3 linked regions of the Elephas maximus indicus genome follow. The main gene of each other region encodes a partner of the protein of the gene in region 3 in a complex. Links are inferred from orthologs where the notes say so. Each region holds a gene or a part of one and is shown on either strand. Other genes may lie near its edges.

Region 1 (7,377 bases), on a different chromosome or scaffold from region 3:
GTTTCCTCGGTGGAAAATAAAAATACTACCTTCTTCACAGGGTTGTTGTAAAAAATAAATGCAGTAATAGACGTAAAGCACAGAAAATAGTAGTGGCACACAAAAGGGATCGGAAGATGTTATTACTGATCTGTCATCAGCCACAAATAGTTGCTAAGATTAGAGAGGAAGGAAGAGGCTATCCTTGAAAACTGCTGGATGTAGCTTTAATAAAAAGAAAACCTATAAGTAAATTTATTATCTTAGGAGATGTTACTAGCAGGAATCTCAGGATTTAGGTCCACAATTTCAGGAAACAGTGCAAAATGATTACCAGGTTCCTTTGAATACTGCTTTTATATTTAGATAATAAATTTAGCTCAAAGGCTCAAAGTATAATTGCAACAATTGTTTTCTAAATGTACATTACCTTATAGTCCCTCACACTGAAACTCATTTCCAATTTTCTGCCTACTGGGTATGGCTTTGACAGCTCTTCCTGCAGTTTACTTAGCATTTATTCACTCGAAAAAACTTAACTTCATTTCTAAGTTTCACCACCTGCCTCATAAATCATTTCCAAATGGAACTTCAGACATAGAAGAGTATTTAGAGATGATGCAGTCCAACAATCTAATTTTGCAGAAAGAAAACTGAAATACGGAGGCTGAGTGACTGGCCCAAGGTTAGATATCCTCTGAGGGCTCCTGCTGGACTTTTCTACCACGTGCTCCCAGACAGACCCTCTCTCTGTCACTGTTTCTTCAACGTGTGAACTGCACGCTGATACCCAGCCCTGTTTATTCTAAGAAAATTTAGGTGACAAAATAACTTCCTCCAGGCTGTGGGGGCAATGGCTGGTTTCCACTTGCATATTTTGTGCACTCCCTCAACAGACCTAGTTAAGTACTTGGTGTTATACCCAGCCCAGTGCCGTCGAGTCGATAACTTGGTGTTATATATGTGGTTAATCCTTGTTAAAAATTCTACCAGTATAAAAAAAAAAAATTATAGGGTTTATTTCCTCTACCTTCAAGGCCAAAATTATTAAGTAAAATCAAGCTTTCTCATGAAATGTTTCTTTTAACTACTTAGTGGATATGACCTCCTTGGCATGCCCTAAATGTTGTTCTTAAGTTACAGGAAAAGTGCCTTTTCTATGCAGGTTTCTAAAAAATGGAGCCCTAGTGTCACAGTGGTTAAAGAGCTTGGCTGCTAATCAGAAAGTCGGCAGTTTGGACCCACCAGCGGCTCCTTGGAAACCCTGTGGGGCAGTTCTACTCTGTCCTATGGGGTCGCTTTGAGTTGGAATCAACTCGACGGCAGTAGGTTTTTTGGTTCTAAAAAACGAGACAGTCATGGCGTGAGAGACTCAGCATCCTTTCCTGCGACGCGATGAACTGGACCTACCAATCACAGGGCCAGCATGCTCACATAACAGCCACGGAAGAGCCTGCTGTTGCTTGTTGTTAGGTGCCATCAAGTCAGTTCCGACTCATAGCGACCCTATAGGATGGAGAACTGCCTCATACGGTTTCCGAGGAATGGCTAGTGGATTTGAACTGCCGACCTTTTGGTTAGCAGCTGAGCTCTTAACCATTATGCCACCAGGGCTCCACCAGGGAGAACCTAGCTAACCACATTTTGTTCCAGGGTAGGCATCAAGGTCCTATGACACTCAATCTATAGGCTGGCTGGCCAGTCATCTAAAATGAGGGCTGGTGTGAAAAGATGAGCTGCTCCAGCCAAATTCTTGCTCTTGGAAACATGGCTCAAATTCACAAAGAATCAGGTAATTAGTAGAAGACATCAAATCTGAAAGCATGTAGAGAGAAAATGTATAAGATACACACAGTGAAGTCAGAAGTTACATGAAGCACAAGTTCTGAAGTACAGAAAACATATTGTAATAAAGAGTAAGAATAAGTGACTCAGGAACAAATAGGAGAATGGGGCAGGCAAGGAAAGTACGCCTCGCTAAGAATGGCTCACTAGAGTTGGGGTCCTTTCTCTTGCTGCTAAAGCCGAATAATCTGGCTGCAGGTTTGATGAGGCCAGTACAAACGAATGTTTCTGCTCCTGATACCTTGTGACACCCATCTCCCTTACCACTATTTGTGTATTATTTTTATGCCACACCCCCCCATAACCTAACTAGAATGCATTTGATTCTAGTAAAACCAAAAAAGCTAATTAAGATACCTGTGAAATGAAAGGGGTGGCTAGCGAGAGCCTTCAGCTCTGTGGACATGTGCCACCAAGTGGTTACGTCCACTGTCAACTCTCCCAATTACTAGGGAAACTCCTGTGTCTGCAAGAAACTGGTCTTAGCTTTATCACTTGCACCTTTCATGTCCATCATTTTTACAGCAGAAACACCAACCGTGCGTCAAAAGCACGTACCAAAGACTTCGCTTTGGAGAGAAATGTCCAAAGAACGGAAAGGTGTTCTCTGCTACAAGCGCAAACCCAGGGCTCCTCACCACGAGGTTTCCGGACCCACCCCCGTCAGCAGGTGCACGCTTTTGGCTGAAGGAGCCCTTCCCGCCGCCGCCAAGAGCACGCGGCGCCGGGTGGGTGGACTCCCTTCCCCGGGACCTTCTCGGGCATCCCGCGCCCGGCCCCTCCCGGCCCCCGCAGCTGCCCGCTGGGTCACCTGTAGTTGTAAGCGCTGAAGTGCTTGCTCTCTCTCAGCATCGCCCGGTAAAGATCTAACACTTGTGCGCGGCTGGAGGCTGCCATTTTGGGGAAAAAAAAATAAAATAATAAATGGGTCCTTTTTGCGGAGGTCCCTAACGCAACCCACAAAATTTCAGCCTATGCAAAAAAATAAAAACACCACGAACAAAACGCAGTGCTCCGCCTTGCTGGCGGGGTCCGGGCTTCTGGCCCAGTCCGCGCGAGCCCTGCGTCCTGGCCTCGCCTCTGGAAGGCGCCCGGGAGCCCCGCGCGACCTTAGGAAAAGCACGCAGGCAGGGCGCCGGGCAGCTAAGGCGGCGGGGGCGGCGCGGCGCGGCGCGGCACGCGGGAGGAGGGGCCGCCAACTGACGGGCCGGGCTGTGGGGCTGGGGTCTGGGACGGCCTCTGCGCCGAGTCCCCTCTTCGGGGATGGGGTCGGAGGCTGGAGCACTGCGGGCTCCCGCTCCGTCACGGAGCGTCTCCGCGAACCACTCGGGCTTGAAGTGGAGACATTTGTATCTGAGGGTGCGTCACCCGGCAGCGCCCCGCTGGGCCGGGCGCCTCGTTGCTGGGTTACCGAGCGCGCGCGCTCCGCCTCCGCTGGCCGCAGAGGCACCCAGCCGCGGACGCCCCGCCCCCATCGGCTGCGGCCGCCCGCGGCGCTGCCTGAGAGGCGGTGCGGGGCGGTCGGGGGCGTCGCGTTGCGGCCGAACGTGGTCGGCTAGCAGGGAACGCAAGGCTCTCGCCGCGCGGGGGTTGGGGCGCGAGGGTCGCGGAGGAGACGGGGCAGTGTTTCTGTGGCATGCAGGCTCCGTTCAGGGCGACAGGCTTAAGGGGCCTGCAGGGCAGGGCCCAGTTTCTGGTCAAAATGGCAGCGCCCAGCGTGCACGGATGGCTTTGCGGTGGGGGGTTGCCGTCCTCCCCGTGAGAGCGAGCGGGCCTGCTGCGCTTCTGAGTTTGAAACGCCTGCAGTCTGGGTTTCCGGGGTGAGCGGTGGGTGAGTGCGGGCTTCGCTGCAGCGTGGGGATGCGACGCGGTCGGTTCGTGTGGTGGGGAGTTTGCACTTGGCCGTAGACTTTTCTGTGTTAACGGGTTATTTTTTGAGACTCGAGTTTTTGCTTTTGTGTCATGAGTTATTCAGTTTTGTAATTTAATAAGTGTGTAAAGGCGGGGCCGCCTGGGCTGTAGGTTAATTGGGGGTATTTAGGAGTTTAAGGACGGTGGTGATCATTTCAGACCCAAGGCAAGAAGCTCTGGAAGTTTCTTCCTGAAGCTTTTCATAGCTAAGCCTTCTCCCGGGGTTTTTTCTCAGAAGACTTCAACTTTTCTGAACCACCGTGTTACGTAGTGGTTTTTGAGCGTGGGACTGGGCGCAGGGAAGCCCGAGCGGCTTCTAGTGACTGCGTGCAAAGCACGTACTTTTGGAGTCTTGCGTTGTATAGTCAACGTTAGGAAGAACCACAGCTTTCTGCCCCAAACACAGCGAGGAGCAACTTCATGCTTAAAAGACAAACGTTTCCATTAATCTATCTTTTTTCCAACCACTGAGTTATGATTGTGTTCTAAAGTATTTTAACGTATCTAGTTTTGAAAAGATTGCGGATCGCCCAGACTGTGGAACACTTGTACACAATCAAAGCAACTTGGTGTTTTCAGGAACTTTAGGGGCAGGAGACTCTTTCTTTTCTGACCTTACCGTACTTGGGACGTGTACTGGCAACACGTCTTTGGGTCCAAATTTACTCACTAGTCCTGTTGGCAGTGGCACTTAATAAAAAGACAGCGAGAAAATGCTTTTACTAACCTTTTGATCTTCCTGTCGGATTTCTTCAAGGTCTCATACATCTATATGTCTCAAAATAGATCTTTTACAAGGTAACAGAACTTCTGTCACTTTTTGCTGGTCTGTCAGGCCTCTGGGCAAATCTTGCCAAGGATTTATTGAAAGTACTTTTAAAATTTTGAGATTTTTCTGTGACAATTTTTAAAGGATTCAAGACCAATGGAATCACATAAAGTTCATTCTTAATATGATACAATTTTGTGTGCTGGTGATACAAAGTGATATGTGGCATCTGGGAAAACCACAATGTTGATGAAAGTTACAGAAAACTATCAAAATGAGAAGACAAAAAATGAACCTTTTTTGGCCTGTTTAGAAATAGTGGGAGTTATGTTATTGTATTTTGCTTTCATTTAGAAAGTTTAGCTGGCATAGTTAATACCATATACAATTGCCTAATTATCAAGCAATTTTACAATTGATGTATCTAAATGACTTAACTTTGTTGTAACCAAGTGAAACTTTCCAAATAAATATGTAAAATTTAAATAGTTTGCTTGAGTAGCCTAGTCATCTGTTAGTACAAGGAATGTTGAGAAATCACTAGGTATGAAAGTGATACCTTCCCAGTTAATCCTAAACTAAGTTTTCACAAAAAGACTTACTGTGTTATTTGAAATGATTTATCAGAACGTTGAATATCCTTGCCTTAAAGACTAATGAAAAATCATAACACCAAAGCTAAATCTCCTGTTTTTGCAGGTCACGTTTGCAGAGATGACTAGTTGAGGTTGAAAGTGGAATGCGGCCAGAAGCTGAGAATGGACCCTTATTCATATGTCCTTTAATATGCGTTCCATACTGGGCTGAGAACTCTTAAAACCCTGAAACCAAAACCTGTTGCCCCGAGTCCATTGCGGCTCATAATGACCCTATCAGACATGGTAGAACTGCCCCATAAAGTTTGCAAGGAGCGCCCAGTGGATTCCAACTGCCATAACGACGACGCCATCAGGGTTTCCTACAAAACCAAAAAACCAAACCCGATGCTGTTGAGTTGATTCCGATTCATAGTGACCCTGTAGGACAGAGTATAACTGCCCCATAGGGTGTCCAAGGCTGTAATCTCTATAGAGCTGAAGCCCTGGTGATGCAGTGGTTATGTGTTTGGCTGCTAACCAAAGGGTAAGTCTTCCGAATCTACCAGCCGATCCTTGGAAACCCTACGGGGCAGTTCTACTCTGTCCTATAGAGTTGCTGTGCAGTGAGTGTAATTTTTACGGAAGCAGACTGCCACTTGTTTTCTCTGGTGGACCAGCTGGTGGGTTTAAACCAGGGCTTTGAACGGATTCTTCCTGTTCTAACTGCTGCTGAGAATTTTCGTTTCTACCCCAGACATACCGAATCAGTCTATGTTTTAACAAGATTCCTAGGTGATTCTTAATGTATAATACGTTCTGAGAACTACTGCTCTGGTAGTGGCTCTCAGAATTGGTCCTTAACCAGCAGCATTAGCATCACCTGGGACCTTGTTAGAAATGCAAATTCTCACCAGGGGTTCGAACCAGAGGAACCTGTTCGAATCCCTGGTTCAAACTGCCTACTTTTTGTTAGCAGTTAAGTGCTTAACTACTGTGTCACCACGGCTCCTTGTCTTAGCAAAGTGACTATAAATAAACTAGGGAGTAGCCACCTACTAGGAACCCTGGTGGTACAGTGGTTAAAGTGATCCACTGCTAACCACCAGTGGCTTCACGGGAGAAAGGTGTGGCAGTCTGCCCGTAGAGATTTACAGCCTCAGAAACCCTATGGGGTTGGTATGAGTCCGAATCGACTTCATGGCCGTGGGTTTGGGTACCCTCCTACTACCACTTGTGTGTCATCGAATTGATTTCAACTCATAGTGACTCTATAGGACAGAACTGTCCTATAGAGTTTCTTAGGCTGTAATCTTTATGAGAGCAGGCAGCCAGGTCTTTACTTCTTTGGAGCCAGTGGTGGATTCGAACCGATGTCATTTCAGTTAGTCCGGCGCTTCACCATTGAGCCGCCAGGGGTCCTTTACTACCGCTTAGGCCTGAAAATGTAAAAAAGAAATTATGCTCAATTGTCCATATTATTAACTACCAGTAGTTCTTTGTGAAATCATACTGCCTTATATTACAATGAGCACTTAATGCTTTTGAAGAGAAATTTCTCCAGCTGTAATAAGCAGAGTTGGAATCAACTGGATGACGGTGGATCTGGATTTTGATTTTGGTTTTTAAGCTTGTATATCAAAATGATGTGTAAAGAAAATCTTGTTTAAGCAGTTTCTGATATTATAATTTAGGAATGATTCCACTCTGTGGATCTGCTTCTGTTATCCTCATTTGTTTTTATCCATCCTTAGTTCTTAGAGAATATGCAACTGGAAGGGACCTTAGATATGACTCATTTTACAGATGAACAAACTAAAGTGATTTCTTAATCATTCATTCAGCATTTATTGAACATTCCCTAAGTGCCATACACTGTACAAGATGATGGAGATACAGGAGAGCCCTCCAAAACCCCTTAAGTAAACCTGTAGAAGACTAGATAAGCAAAGCAATAATTTATTGTGACAAGTGCTGTGATAGGGATATTACCAAATACTGTTGTTGTTTGGTGCCGGTAAGTTGATTCTTGACTCATAGGAACCCCATGTGACAGAGTAGAATTGCCCCATAGGGTTTACCTGGCTGTAATCTTTATAGAAAAGAGCCCTGGTGGTACAGTGGTTAAGCATTCAGCTGCTAATCGAAAGGTTGGCAGTTCAAACCCACCAGCTGCTCCTCAGGAGAAAGATGTGGCAGTCTGCTTCCATTAATATTACAGCCTTGGAAACTCTGTGGGGCATTTCTTCTCTGTCCTGTAGCGTTGCTGTATGAGCAGCAGTGGACTTGACGGTTAAT
Region 2 (8,079 bases), on a different chromosome or scaffold from region 3:
CCCTAGCCTCTCTGTACCTAGCACTGAGCCTGGCACATGCCGTAGATGCTCAAGCACCATTTGTCACGAGCAAACAATAGCATGCTAAACTGTCCCTCCTCTTCTCCCTCTCAGACATGTCCTGCAATGTGGGTGGAGCTGGAAGGGCAGCCTCCAGACCCAGGAGCACCTCCCTGTATGCCTTCAAATGCCACCACTGGGCCCTGTGTCTAATCTGCCCATCCTCCTGGTCTCCTGGGCACAAAATGTCTGGGCCTTGAAACTCCAAGTAATACCCGGGCATCTCTTCCGAGGCCATTTCCTACCTTGATAGCATTCTCATCACAGGACATTAAAATGATCTAGTTATACAATAATCCCAGCTATTCACTGGGTGCTAACCATGTGCATGACACCTGTTTAATCCTCCCAGTAACCCAGTGGGATAGGAACTGAATTATCCCATTTTATAAATGAGGAAACAGAGGCCGAGAGAAGCTAAGTACCTTGCCGAGGGCCACACAGCTGGTAAGAGGCAAAATCTGAACACAGGCATTTGCCTCTAAGACTCGTCTTCCAACCTATGTCCTGGACTGCCAGCCAAGGCTCTTAACTTCCCAGAGATAAGGAGCTGGTCTAGGGGCTGGCTGGATTCCACAACAGAACTCGAGGTAGGCCTGCCCTGATGCCCCCCTCCATTCATGCCCTCAACATCTCTAATGATTAAATGAGGCTCCCACCACTACGGGACAACCCCTGCACATCTTCCTTCAGACTACTCTTCCCAGTTGCTCATGATATCATGTTTACTCGTAGAACTATTGGATTATGGTCCCTATTAGGTTGAAATTGGTGACAGATGACAGGGGTCTTATCTGTCTTGTACACTGCTGTCTCCCCAGCCCCCAGCACAGAGCCTGGCAAACAGTAGGTGCTCAAAATTCAGAGAAGGGTAGCACAGATTAGTCGTGAAAATGGGATGGGTCTGAATCTAATGTTGCCACTTACTTGACCTTGGACCAAGTCTACATAACCTGGGGCTCAGTTTCCTAATCTATAAAATGGGGATAACAGTCTCCCTATTACCTAGAGTTGTCAAAAAGATTCAATCAGTATGTGTTAACACGCTTAAAGTAGTGTCTATTATTTTTTCAGCCAATACTGATTTAACACCTGTTACATTCTATTTGGGTGCCATGGAGTGGATGCTGATCCCATGTAATAGAGTAGAACTGCCTCACAGGATTTTTTTTTTTGGCTGTACTCTTAACAGGGAAACCTTGGTGGTGTAGTGGTTAAGTGCTACGGCTGCTAGCCAAAAGGTCAGCAGTTCGAATCTGCCAGGCGCTCCTTGGAAACTCTATGGGGCAGTTCTACTCTGTCCTATAGGGTCCCTATGAGTTGGAATCGACTCGACGGCACTGGGTTTGGTTTTGGGTTGGTTACTCTTAACAGGCAGAGATCACCATGTCTTTCTCCTGAAGAACCCCTGGTAGGTTCAAACTGACAACCTTGCCGTTAGCCGGCAAGTGCTTAACCATTGGTTTAACAGTGGTTAAAGTGCTCGGTTGCTAACCTTTTGGTTAGCGGTTCAAGCCCACCAGTTGCTCTGAGAGATAAAGATGTGACAGTCTGTTTCCGTAAAGATTATAGCCTTGGAAACCTGACGGGGCAGTTCTACTCTATCCTATAGGGCCACTACGAGTTGGAATCAACTCGATTGCAACAGGTTTGTTTTTTTTTTTTTATGTTCAGGTACCATGATAGACAATAGATAAGTGGCAAATGGGGTTTCTGCTTCTTGTCATGGGATGGGTGAAAAAGAAGCAAGCGAAACAGCCGTAAACTGATAAGAGTGACTGGGGCATGGGAACTTTAACTACGCTAAGGGGACCGGGACATCAAGATGATATTTACGCTGAGACATGCAGGGTGCAGAGGAGCCACATCTGGCCAGAAAGCACTTCAGGCAGAGGGAACAGCAAGTGCAAAAGCCCTGAGGCAGGAATGAGCTTGGCTGTTTGAGGAACAGCATGGAGGCCAGTGTGGCTAGAATAGAGAGAAGAAAGAATAAGAAAACACAAGCTCCGGAAGGGCCAGAGTTTTAGTCTCTAGTAAATGCTCAATAACCAAGCGCTGAGCGCAGGATGGTTAGGAGCTGGGTTGGGGTTGTGGCCACGGTGAGTTTGGATTTTGGTCCATGTTTGGTGGGAGGCCATTGGAAGGTTAAGCAGTGGAAAGACATAGTCTGATTTGCGGTTTTTCAAATGAATGAATAAGGGCCACCCCAATTCTCTAAGCGGAGCTCCCACCTTCCAGGTCCACCCCGTGGCGCTGGGCCAAGTGAAGAACATTGTCCCCGACTCTGCCGCTCACTGGGATCCTTCGGCCTGAGCGGTCTACGAACACCACGTTCACCCTGGGGACAGATGGGGAGTACAGATGCCGAACTGGGGCAGGGACCCCGAATCCGGTGGAATCTAGGGTTAGGGAGTCGGGGCTGGGGTTTGATGGACAAGCAAATAGGGCGGGGCCGAAGGAGTACTCCGCAGATGAGGCTGTGGGACACGGTGGGGTACTGAGAAACCTCGTGGGATGCGGACTGGGGGGCTTGCCCCGCACTCACACGTCCCGGGGCCGCTCAGGGTCGCCGGCTTCCTCCTCCCCCGCTGGGCGCGAGCCTGGAAAACAGTTCAGTGAGCGGCTGCGCCGCACCCTACCGGCGGCCGACGGGTTAACGCTGCCCACCCGGCGCACCCTGGGTACCTGTCGCCCGGAATTCCCTAGTTGTCGCCGGCGTCGCTGCCTCCCCTGCCCCCGAACAGCCCCCGAGTCTGCCCCACCAGACCCCCTTGACCGCCCGCAGCAAGACCCCGGCATTCACACCGCTCCGGGCCACGGAGGCGGCCATAACAGGCATCACGTGACCCGAGGACTAGGCATGCGCGCTGCGGAAGTACGCACAATAGATCCGTAAAGATCCGAGCATAAGCGCCGTCTGTTTCCTTGAAGTGTGCGCCAGAGCGCTTCTGTGCAGGATACCAGGGGTGGGACGATGGGAGGACGCGGGGAAAGTCGGGAGGGGGCCAGGTAACCCGGGCCTGCGGAGACCTGTGGGCCATCCCAGACCTCCCACCCTGGCCCATTATTTGCCCAAGAACCAGCCAGTCTTGCTTTCTTTAAACCCATTTACTTACAAACTTTAATTCAGCAAAGGTTTGTGTGGGACTGGGGAAAGGACACCCCCTGGAGTGGAGATGGGCCGGAGTCTGGGGAAGGAAGCTGGTGGCCCAGCTGGCCAGGAGCAGGGCCCAGGGTCACCTCTGGCAGACAGGTCCTGCTCACGGGCAGGAGCAAGCGTATCTACATGGAGTTGGTGGTGTGGGGCACTGGGCCAAAGGGAGGCCAGCTCCGGGTGATCTGGCCTGGGAATGGAGAGGTGGAGTTTGTCTTCAGAAGGGGGTGGACAGCAGAGGCTCACTGGGCTGGATACAATGCTCAACACTCACAGACAGCAGGGGACTGGCTTCAGCTGGCAGAGAAAGCCCAGCTCTGCATGTAGGCCTGGGCGCAAAGGTGAGGGTGGGTGTGCCAAGACCAAGGTTTTGACTTCCTTCTGTCCCAGGGGCAGGCACCCTGGGCAAAGGGGCCCAATCCCCAGGCCAGAGCGGTTTGGTCCTGAGCCAAGCTCCAGAGCTTGGCGTCTGAGAGGCTCTGGCTGGCTGGGGCCTGGGGCCTGGCTTTAAGGCATCTGAAGGTGAGGGGACTGTGGCAGGGAGTTGGGGACCCAGGACTGGGCACAGGCCAGAGTGGGCAGGCAGGGGCAGGAGACGACCTTGCCTGCAACAGACACGGGGAAAAGCGAAAATGGCCATTCAAACCAAAAGGTGTGGACCAGAGGAACAGACACGCTGAGCCTTGAAGGAATCAGAGCTGGGGTTCTCCTGGATTGTTTTTAAAAAACGTTAAAAATTAGAAAAGGAAACAAAAGTCAATTGTCAAAGTTAAAAAAGGGGGGCAGTCTCTGATCTTCACGGGAGGTCACGGAGACCTCCAAGGCACTCGAAAGGCCGAGACACAGGAGCAACGAGGCAAGAGAGGACTCCCAGAGGTGGACACAGTGGAGGGCAGGAGACAGCAGAGGGGAGAGAGCGCAGGCTGGGGCCCTCTCTCGTAAGGCTGCAGGGTTTCGGCGCCCAGAGCAGGCCAAAGGTGCAGAGTGGCCCCCAGACTCCCCCACACTCCCTGGGCTCCGGCTAGTTGGTCAGAAAAGTCTTTCCAAGATTTTTCTATTACCAAAAAAAAAAAACAAAACACCAGAAGGCCCAAAAGCGACTCAGTGCAGGCCCTTGAGCATCTCTGGTGCTGGCCTCTTAGAAAATCCGCTTCCTCTTCAGGTAGGAGTCCGCGTAGTGGCCACCAAGGCCCTGGGAGTGCTGGCCCACGTAGCTGCCCTCCGGGCTGGGCTCAGGCGAGGGCAGCAGGTGGGCAAAGCTTCGTTTCTGGCCACCCAGTGGGGTCTGGAGACAGAAGGTGGGGGGTGGTGAGTCAGGGGCCATCCAGGGGCCACGGCTCCCCAGCCCTGCAGGTCCCTGTCCCCTGCCCGTACCTTCAGCAGGTGGCTGTGGCCATTGGGCCCTGGGCTGAGGCCCAGAAGCCCTTCTCCGGAGCCCAGCGGAGAGGAGCCGACTGCCTGGGCAAAATGGAGAAAGAGAGGAGAGTCAGTTCCTGTAGCCCAGAGGAAGGAGTCCCTAGGGCAGAGGCAAGGGGTTTCAGGTTCACACCTTCCCCCTGCTACTTAGTAGCCAGGAGACCTGGAGCAGAGCCTCTGTTTCCTCATCTGTCAACTGGGTTTAATACCACCCACACACTGGGCTGTTGGGGGAGGAAGTGATGGGAAGCCCAGCAGGCTGGGCAGGGGCAGTGCTTGACATGTAGGCACTGAGACAAGGACATCTTGGTTCACCTGAGCCATGGCCTAGGCTTCAGAGTTCCCAGAGCCCTGGAGGCAGGGGCTCTGCGTTCTGGCTGTCCCTGGGGATGTCCTGGCCAGGGAAGCTCCTCACCTTGTTGAGGTGGCTCTGCTTGAGGCCAGCTTGCAAGCCACTGGCAAAGTAGGAAGTGGGCGAGCCAGAATAGAAGTGAGAGAGGGGGCCCCCACCACTCCGGTCGCCGAAGCCACTGGGCGGGGGGGACATCTGCAGAGAAGGGGTGAGCTAAGTGAGGCAGACCATTGGAATACTGGCCCCCAAGAAATCATGACTCCTACTGTCTATACCCTTGTGTGGATCCCCCAAATGATTGTGACTAGATTTGGCCAAGGGGACAGCAGCAAGATGCTGCAAGCAGGGTCCTGAATAAAGCCTGCAGACCAGGCCTCCCCTCCTCCTTGGGGAACCCTGGGACCACCAGCACATGAATGGGCACAGGCTCTGTGTGGAGCAGAGATACACCATCCCAGCTAAGGCCCCTGTCATCAGCCTGCCAACCGCCGGCCATGCAGGTGAGACCATCGGGGATCATCATTCGCAGTCGAGTGGCCGGATGACTCCAAAGAACCACTCGCCACCCCCACAGAACGGTGAGAACTAACAAAATGTTCACTGTTTTAAGTCACTATCGGAGGGCTGGTTTGTTCTGCAGCAGTAGCTAACCAGTACACCCAGAGGAGGAGTGGCCACAACAGCCCTTACCTTAAGTCGGCTGGGTCCATGGGGCCCTAAGGTGGGCTCTCGTGGGTGAGAAAAGAGCCGCCGAGGTCCCATGTCCTGAATGAAAGTGGGAGAAGCACGATGGTTTGGAGTCTGCACCCACCTCCGCCTCAGCTGAACTCCACGGCCCAGCTGCCCTCAGGCATGTCCGCCCCCTCCTCTCGAGGCCCAGCTGAGGCAAACGCTAGCACATGGGGCCAAACTCGGCCTGCAGGGGCCATGAGAGGGCAGCACAGGCAGAATGAAATGGGGTGTGTGCCTGTCCAAGAGGGTGCTGCACCTGGGCCCAGTGATGGCTACCATGAAGAAGCTTAGCCCTCACTGGGCCAGGTGTAGGGGGGTTTGCAAGGCAAGCGGGGAACCTGGGTTGTGTAGATCCACAATTTTTATATGTTGGCATTTATTTCAGGTCTTTTTTAAAAAAAAAAAAACCCTAACACAGGTGGCCTGTGGATGGCCAGCTTGCAACTTCTGACCTGGAGGAGACTGGAACCAGGGACAGAGACAGAAACTAAAGTGAGGACAGATGGACAGAGAGGTCGCTGAGCCCTGCTTCTAGGGAGAAAGAGACACGGCCTAAGGAAGGCCTCTTGAGAGACAGACAGATGCACGGGCTGAGCTGCAGGGACAGATAGGCAGACAGAAAACAGGACCTGGGGTGGTCCATGGACAGACAGATTTAAGGGCAGGGACTGTGTCCAGCATGTTCCCATTGTCTCCCTGGCCTCTGGCCTGGGACCCAGCTGACTCAGTAGGGGAGAAATATCAGTTTGGAAGATGAATTGCTCTTGGGACAAAAGGCCACACCAGCTGGCCCCTCATGGATAGCTGGCCACAGGGTGCTGGGTACTTACCGAGGGGTAGTCAAAGCTGTAGCTGTCAGGCAACCCTGGCTCAGGTGGCAGGCGGGTGCTGGTGAGGGGGCTGAGCAGACGAGACTTGAGCTGGAAGGCTTTGCTGCTGCTGCCACCTCCACCACTGCCGCCTCCAGGGGCTGGGGGGGCAGGCAGGGGGCCCTCAGCTGGGCGGCGGCTCCTCCCAGGGCCCCCCCAGCCCCGGGCCTCCTTACCCGCCAGGTTGCTGGCTGGGAGCAGGCTGTGTAGGTTCAGGTAGGGATTCAGGGGGATCCGGAAGTCCTTAGGGGGTTCCCCTAGCAGTGAGACCTGTGGCGGGACGGTGGTATCTGCAAGGGTCCCCGGCAGAGGGAACTGTGCAGGGTGGGAGGTGGATGTGGCTCTGGGCACAGGGCAGGGCCTTACCCCAGGGGGCGTTGGCAGAGGCCCACTGTCTTTCTGGAGGCCTCTAAGGCCAGTGCCTCGGAGCCCCGTGGGGGCAGGGGGTGGAGTGAGCTGGGCTGCTGAGGGGCCCAGGCCCATGGCCTCCCGGTCACTTCCAGAGGGGCCAAGCAGTGGCGGCAGCAGGGGTGGCGGCTTCCCTCGCCGAGGTGGCAGCTCTGGGGGCAGGCCCCCCCCTACAAAGAGAAGGAGGGGTCAGGGGCCCGGCCGAGCAGGATCCCTCCCCCTGGAGCCTCCACACATGGACCAGGGCCCAGTGGACAAGGGGCTGAACACTGAGCACCAGCTGACAGATGAAGACACACAGACCTGGAGAGGTGAGGCCACTTGCCCAAGGCCACCCTGCTGGGAACAGACACTCCCAGTGAGGAAATGGGCTTGGGAAGGGGATGTGGGGTGGTGCCAGCAGAGAGACAGTAGAGTCTGCATTACCTGCAGACAGCTCCCCAAGAAGGGGGTTGGCCGGCTGGGCTCCAGGCTGGAGGGGGCCCAGGGGAGAGTCTCCCAGGATGCCAGGCTTCTAGGGACAGAGCACAGTCAGCTGGGAACAGGGGTGCCAATCACCCAGCATATGCCTAGCCTCCAGCCCACAGCCACTCAGACAGACAGGTAGTGGCCCCACCCACTCACCACCCATCCACTCAGACAATGGCTGCTGAGGGCCTACTATGCAGTTACCCTGTCCTAGGTACTGGAGAGTCCTAAGTACTGGACAGACACAGGAGCCATGCACCAAAAACACAGTGTGTCAGGGTCTGTCACCCCACACTGTCTACCACTGTCAGACATACACACACATGGTGACAGTCACTCTTAGCCATACAAGGGCCCTCACACACAACCTCATGCCCTTGTCAGTTACAATCAGACACACCCACATCACTGATTTTGCTCCAGTGGACCAAACCAGGCAGAGCAGAGTGAGTGAGTGAGTGAGTGAGTGAGTGAGTGAGTGAGTGAGTGAGTGAGTGTGTGTGTGTGTGTGTGTGTGTGTGTGTGTGTGTGTGTGTGTGTGTGTGTGTGTGTGTGTGTGTGTGTGTGTGTGTGTGTGTGTGTGTGTGTGTGTGTGTGTGTGTGTGTGTGTGTGTGTGTGT
Region 3 (6,974 bases):
GGGAGTGCCTGGTGGATTTGAACTGCTGACCTTTTGGTCAGCAGCTAAGCTCTTAACCACTGTGCCACCAGGGCTTCAGACAAAGAACAGGAGAGGGAAGGGCAGTCCAGCAAAAGAAAATGAGGCATGAAAGTGTAGTGTGTCTGTGTGGGAAGACATGAGTTCATGTTGCTGCACATTAAAGGGCAAAGTGGTGCACTGATGACAGGCACTGAGGTGGAAGAGAGCCAGGGCCCAGGTCTGCAGGGCTTTTGGGGCCAGGGTCAGGGGCCAGGACTCTGTTTTACTGGAGAATGAATGACACGGACAAACCTCAGCTCTGAGTCCATCACTGTCAGACATGACTTTCGGCGCCAGTGCCAGGAATAGCCAAGCCTTTCCTGCATATATATAGGGTTGCTAAGAGTCAGAATTAACTTAATGGCAGTGGGTTCCTGCATAAGTGGTTTCTCTTCATCTGGGTAATGTGTCCCACAGAACTGTTTGGAACTTCTCTTTGCGTTCTGGCTGCTGCTAGCAAGTTTAGATTCGGGTCCCACCTGGACCAAGATTAAGGCTTCCTGGCTCCATTTTAGGCCGCTACCCTTGTTTTTCTTCTTTTTTTCTTACTTATAGGGTCACTATGAATCAGATTCGATTTGACTCAATGGGTACTGATACAGGTAGTTGCAATGATGGGATCTGAGAAGGGGAGTGGAGAGAACAAGCAACAGTCCAGATGGAGACTAACAATGGTTGGAGGTAGAGATTTGGAGTGATTGGAATACAGGGAATAACAGAAACTAAGAGAGAGGAAGAGGCAGTTCAAAGACACTGTGTGGTAAGAGAACTCGGGAGCACACTGACGTTTAACTGTTAGGTAGAGAAAGAGCCCAAGGAAACAGGGTAGGAGCAGAGAGCTAAGGGAAGAACCAAGGGAGAATAGTGTGACAACAGGCTATAGAAGACAGCACTGGCAAAGAAGCTGGCAAGTTTAACATGTGGGCTGCAAGGTGTCCAATGAAAACATGAATTAATGTCTTTCTTTAGTATTCATCTCAGTATCACTTAACAACCAGCAGGAGGCCTGGCACATAGCTGTCCCTCAGTATCTTTGAATGAACAAGTATTTATTCTCCACCTCAATCCATGAAGGATGTAACTATGTTAAATGCGAGCACTTAGTCAAAACCACTATGCAAATATAAAACGGTTCTATTGTATATATGAACCAAGCAGAGGTAGAGGAACATATTCAAGGACATGCTCAAAGTGTGGTTTGCTACTCAAACTTTGCTACTCAAAGTGTGGTTCAAGGACCAGCAGCATCAGTACCTTCTGGGAGCCCACTGGAAATGAAGACTCTCAGGGCCCTTCCCAGACTTACTCAATCAGAATCCACATTGTAACCCAGGTGATCTCTATGCACAATGAAGTTTGAGAAACAATGCTCTGAGAATAGGGACAATCACTTCGCATTTCAGCCTAATGTTGAAATCAGGAACAAAACACTTAGCAGCAACTCTACCTACTGCCCTTTTAGCCCTTAACTTCAAAGTGAAACATTAACCTTTTGATCCAACTAATAGGATAACACTCTGAATTAATCCATTACACCATCAGTGAATCTCAACACTGGCTGCACAAAGAATCACCTGAGGACTTTAAAAAATTAGATGCCCAGGCCTCACCTCTAGAGATTCTGATTGAATTGGCCTGCTTATCCTGTTTTTTTAATTCTAACATTTGGTCAAAGTTGAAACCACTGTGTTATATGAAGTCAGTGAGTTTGAAATGGGTTTCTCACCTTGACCTTGGGAGATTCTATCCTACCTTAAGGCACTAGCTCTTCATCTCATCTGCACTTCAGAGTCACCTGGGAAACTTAAAAAAAAAACAAACCCATGCCAGAGATATATCCCAGAAGCCAGAATGAGAGCTGCGGGGGTGGGGGTGGGGGTGGGGGTGGGGGTGGGGGTGGGGGTGGGGGTGGGGGTGGGGGTGGGGGTGGGGGTGGGGGTGGGGGTGGGGGTGGGGGTGGGGGTGGGGGGGTGAGGTGGAAATGGGGTTGAAAGCTACCCAAGAGATCTTAATGTGCAGCTAGGATTGACAATCACTGCCCTGCTGAGAGTTGTGGCCTCACACAGATTTCATCAGATAAGCTAGATCCTACTTGTTTTCCACCCTTTCTTCCAGAAGGCCCACAAACCGGGCAAAAGATGCCACAGGGAAAATTTCAGACAGAAATCCGGGAAGAGAACTACTCTGGAGAAGGCTGTAGGCCAGTGTGGCCCCTGTTACTCGCCGTCCCCTAGAAAGCTATCACGGTGTTTATGATTATTACTAGAAATAACAGTCATCAGTATTTTGAGAGCTTACCAAGCACCGCAGTAGGTGCTGGATCTGATCTCACTAACTCTCACCGCACTTCCATAAGACAGAGACCAGTATCTCGATTCCATGGATCAGACTGAGGCTTCCAGACATGAGGAGACTTTTGCAAAGTTTCAGTAAATGGCAGCCACCTTTCGAGGGTCTGACTCGGGAGTCTGTGCTCTTGCTCATAACCGGGCCTTGGGGGCCAGGGTCAGGGGGCCTAGGTGACCCCACCTCCCCGCTTAAATCAACCAAGTCCCGTTATGTCAGTGAGGTCGGGGAGCGAGCCAGATGCCCTCGGGGTCACCCCACCTGCAACTGGCGCAGTCCCGCTGCCCGCCCTAGGTCTCCTCGGCCTTCCCGTGCAGACCTTGCTAGCCCCGACTCGCCGCCCCAAGGCCCGACTCCCTCCCCTTTCAGTCGGGCCCCCGCTCCCCATCCCGGAGCGTGCCCGATCCCTGACCCCTGCCGGGCCCCAGCAAAGTCACCGCGAGTCACCTGCGCGAGAATCGAGATTGGCTCCGGAGCCCGGGGTCTCGTCCGGATCCCCGCGGGACACAGGGCGGTGCTGAGTGGCCGGGCTGCGGCCAGCGTGGTGGACCGGGGCAGGGGCGCGAAGGCCGCGGGTAGGCGGCGGAAACAGGCACAAAGGACACGAGCCGCCATGGCTACGCTAACCCAGGATGCAGTGCGCCGCAATCTCAGGGCAAAGCTTCCGTGCCCGCCCCGCGCAGGCTACGCACAGAGCGGCGCTGTCGGGCGCCGTCGGCTCTGGCGGCCCCTGGCGGCCCCAGCTGGCACTGCGTCTTCCGGGTTGCGCTACAGGGCCGTCCAGGTTCGGAAGCGAGTTACTTGCCGTAACTAAGACTGCGCAGCTATTGTCTTTCCATAAACAGTGATAAAAAGCACAAGAACTTATTGCTTATTCTCTGAAAGTTCTGAAATACATTTATTTAAGTTTCGATGCCACGATTCTTACTTAAACCCGTTGTGGAGTCGGTTCCGACTCATAGCGACCCTGTAAGACGGAACAGAACTGCCCTATAGGGTTTCCAAGGAGCGCCTGGTGGGTCTACGCCACCAAGGCTTCCAATTCTTACACAAGTATTAAAATCTAATAGGTAAAAAACTCAGTGCAAAATACAAAAACCAAAAGTACAAAATAAGAATGCGAAAATAAAGAATGTGAAAAACAAGAATCGCTTTAAATATGTACCTAATACTAATACATATGGGAATGATGATAAAAAACAATGCGCATGTTTTAAAACTTGACAAAGTATAAATAATAAAACTAACAAAAATGCGGAAATGGAGGGAGGTTAAACCTGCCAAACTGTTTGCATTAGCCACCAGGCTTTTCCTGCATCCTGACTTTGTTAGGAAATCCTTGTGGTGTAGTGGTTAAAAGCTATGTCTGCTAACCAAACGGCTGGCAGTTTGAATCCACCAGGCATTCCCTGGAAACCCAATGGGGTAGGTAGTTCTACTTTGTCCTATAGGGTCACTATGAGTTGGAATTGACTTGATGGCAATGGGTTTTGACTTTGTTTCTACCACTTCTCTGTTGATTAGCAATTGGAAGAGAAACTGTATCACTTCCTTGGAATGACCAACCTCTATTTTGAAAGGTAGCCTTCCATTTCTGCAGAAACTGGCACCAAATCTCTGGTTGGTATGAGTGGGATCAGGGCCTATAAGATCTGCTTAGGTGATACACCATCCTCTTCTTTCTCCTCCTTGGTCACACTGGAGAGATGGAGACAGTGCTGTGGTGCTGACTGTAACACCAGCAGAAGAGGGAGCAATCAGAAGACCACGATAGCCTACTGAGCCCACTCTTGGGATCATCTCTCCCCATGGCCTTTCTAGTATTTCTGAGTTACATTTAATCCTTTCAGTGAAAAATAATAAATAACCTCTTATTTAAATGTTATATTGGTTGAGACATCTACTTTTACCTTCAGCAAACACATTAGGAGAAAATGTTGGCCTACATGGTCTGTTGGGTAAAAGGTCCAATATTAAGATCAAGTCCTTAACAATTGAGGAAGATTCAAGAAAGGTCACTGGTGCTTTTCATTTTTGCCTCTCTGCACCATAAAAGGATGTACAGTGAAACCTGTGAGAGCCGAAACTCAACAGGTCTGCGTTTTTCCAGGTCTTGCAAGTTTTCTGCCTCTGACAGGGTGTGGTCTTACCACTTTTCTATTGCTCGTTTTAGTAGAAAATATTTGCATTTTCCTTCTCTGACAGGTTTCCACCTTACACAGTTTCTACCCTTCACAGGTTTTACTGTATGAACATAAACTATTGTCAGTTTCTTGTACACATCATCCCACCGACCCATCAGTTATCCCTCCCTTCCAGCCCACCTGCACCTTTATATCACCCCCTCCTTGGGCTACCAGGTATCTCTACTCTCCCACATCTTCAACATCTCTCTTTCTTCTGGCTCTTTTCTCTGAGCCTATAAAGATGCCAAAGTTTCTCACAGTCTAAAAACAATGTCAGAGGCTCCCTCCGTTGACCCTTCATATGAGCCCCACAGGGTCATCTCCCCGCCTCCACAAATCCATTCTTCACACTGCAGCCAGAGTGGGACCTCTTCGCTTCACGACTCAAACCCTTCCAGGGGTTCTTTTCACCTGCAAAATCCAGATTTGTTAACGTGTCACAAGCCCCCAGACTACCTCTCTAGCTTCCTGACTCCACTCTGCACAGCATAATTAGGTTTTCACATTATTGAAATGTCAATGATTCTTTACTCTTCATGTCCCATCTACTGATGAGTCCATCAAAGGAATTCTTTATTTTTGTCAGTGTTTTTCGATTCTAGCATTTACTTTTCTTTCTTACCCGACTTTCCATCTCTCTGCTTACATTACCCATCTGTTCTTGCAAGTTGTCTACTTTTTTTGTTACAGCGCTTAGCATATTATTTATAATTATTCAAAATGCACGGTCTGATAATTCCAAAATCTCTGCCATATCTGAGTCTGGTTCTGATGCTCGCTTTATCTCTTCACACTGCATTTTCTAACTTTCAGTATGCCTTGTAATTTAAAAGTAAATGGATGGAGAAAGATATACAAATGCTAACACTCATCAAAAGAAAACCTAGAGTAACTATGCTAATTTCAGAAAAAGCACATCTCAGAGCAAGGAAAATTATGAGATAAAGAGGGGCATTACATAACGTTAAGGAGTCAATTCTCCACAAAGATATAATAATAATTAATGTGTTTGCACTTAACAACAGAGAGACAAAACATGTGAGGCAAAAAAACTGATAGAATTGCAAAACCAAAAAAAAAAAAAAAAAACCCACTGCCGTGGAGTCGATTCCAACTCATAGTGACCCTATAGGACAGAGTAGAACTGCCCCATACAGTTTCCAAGGAGTGCCTGGCGGATTCGAACTGCCGATCTTTTGGATAGCAGCCGTAGCACTTAACCACTACGCCACCAGACGGAATTGCAAGAACAGACAAATCCACTATTAGAGTCGGAGACTTCGAGGCCCCTCCATCAGAAACTGACAGATCCAGCAGGTGGAAAATTAGTAAGGATACAGATGAACTGAGCAGCACCATCAATCAATTGGATCTAAGTGACATTTACAGAACACTTCATCCAACAGCAACAGAATACATAATCTTTTCAAGTTCACATGGAATATTCACTGAGGAAGACCAAATCCTAGGCTATAAAATATACCTTAACAAATTTAAAACAGTAGAAAGCATACAAAGAACGCTCTCAGATCTCAATGGAATTAAACTAGAAATCACAGCTAGAAAATCTCAAAATATTTGGAGATTAAACAACATGCTTCGAAATAATACATGGGTCAAAGAAGCAGTCTAGCTACTTCTTAAAACGTATTTTGAATTAAATGAAAATGAAAATACAACTCATCAAAATTGTGGGACGCAGCAAAAGCAATGTTTAAGAGGAAATTGAGAGCATTGAATGCATATAACAGAAAATCTAAAACCAATAATCTAAGCTTCCACCTTACCCAACTGTAGGAAACTAGAAAAAGAAGAGCAAATTAAATAAAAAGTATGCAGAAGAAAAATAATTAGAGCAGAAATCAACATAATTGAAAACAAAATTAAGAAAGAAAATCAACAAAACAAAAGGCTGGTTCTTTAGAAAGATCAATAAAATTGATAAATTCCTAGCCAGGCTAACCAAGACAAAAAAAGAGACCGAACACACAAATACTAATATCAGAAATGAAAGAATATTAGTACTGAATCCATGGACATTGAAAGGGCAATAAAGGAAAATTATGAACAAGTCTATGCCCACAAATTTAATAACTTACATAAAACGGGCCAATTCCTTGAAAGATACAATCTACCAAAATTCACGCAAGGAGAAGTAGATCATCTGAAGGTGCCTATATACATTACAGAAATTGAGTCAACACTTAAAAACCCTCCAAAACAGAAAGCGCCAGACCCAGATACCTTCACTGGTGAATTCTACCAAACATTTAAGAAGAAATGATATCAATTCTTTACAATCCCTTCCATACAATAGAAGCAGAGGGAACATGTCCTAATTTATTTTATAAAGCTAGCATTACCCTAATTACCAAACGCAGA

Evidence for each region.
Region 1: the proteins of NDUFAB1 (region 3) and LYRM4 are in contact, whole or in part, in a crystal structure (PDB 6ODD), measured with the Homo sapiens proteins. The link is inferred for Elephas maximus indicus from reciprocal best matches to the Homo sapiens genes NDUFAB1 and LYRM4. Residues at the interface, in NP_004994.1 of Homo sapiens: Lys92, Asp111, Ser112, Leu113, Asp114, Val116, Glu117, Met120, Glu123, Asp124, Glu129, Ile130, Asp132; in NP_065141.3 of Homo sapiens: Arg6, Leu10, Ser11, Tyr13, Arg14, Leu17, Arg18, Lys21, Arg37, Phe40, Arg41, Lys44.
Region 2: NDUFAB1 (region 3) and FDX2 share a complex: the UniProt entries of both Homo sapiens proteins name them as parts of the mitochondrial core iron-sulfur cluster (ISC) complex. The link is inferred for Elephas maximus indicus from reciprocal best matches to the Homo sapiens genes NDUFAB1 and FDX2.

What each region holds. Positions count from the first base shown.
Region 1 is NC_064819.1:47,044,811-47,052,187, forward strand, and holds the start of LYRM4 (LYR motif-containing protein 4), read right to left. Parts: upstream 3,038-7,377; 5' UTR 2,722-3,037; coding exon 2,636-2,721; intron 1-2,635.
Region 2 is NC_064821.1:28,419,214-28,427,292, forward strand, and holds the start of FDX2 (ferredoxin-2, mitochondrial), read right to left. Parts: upstream 3,003-8,079; 5' UTR 2,900-3,002; coding exon 2,746-2,899; intron 2,661-2,745; coding exon 2,606-2,660; intron 2,399-2,605; coding exon 2,292-2,398; intron 1-2,291. Other genes in the region: RAVER1 (ribonucleoprotein PTB-binding 1), read right to left, coding at 4,353-4,499, 4,589-4,672, 5,046-5,177, 5,673-5,747, 6,545-6,853, 6,950-7,161, 7,418-7,505. UniProt on the Homo sapiens protein: Electron donor, of the core iron-sulfur cluster (ISC) assembly complex, that acts to reduce the persulfide into sulfide during [2Fe-2S] clusters assembly on the scaffolding protein ISCU.
Region 3 is NC_064830.1:83,810,079-83,817,052, forward strand, and holds the start of NDUFAB1 (acyl carrier protein, mitochondrial), read right to left. Parts: upstream 3,062-6,974; 5' UTR 3,022-3,061; coding exon 2,854-3,021; intron 1-2,853. UniProt on the Homo sapiens protein: Carrier of the growing fatty acid chain in fatty acid biosynthesis.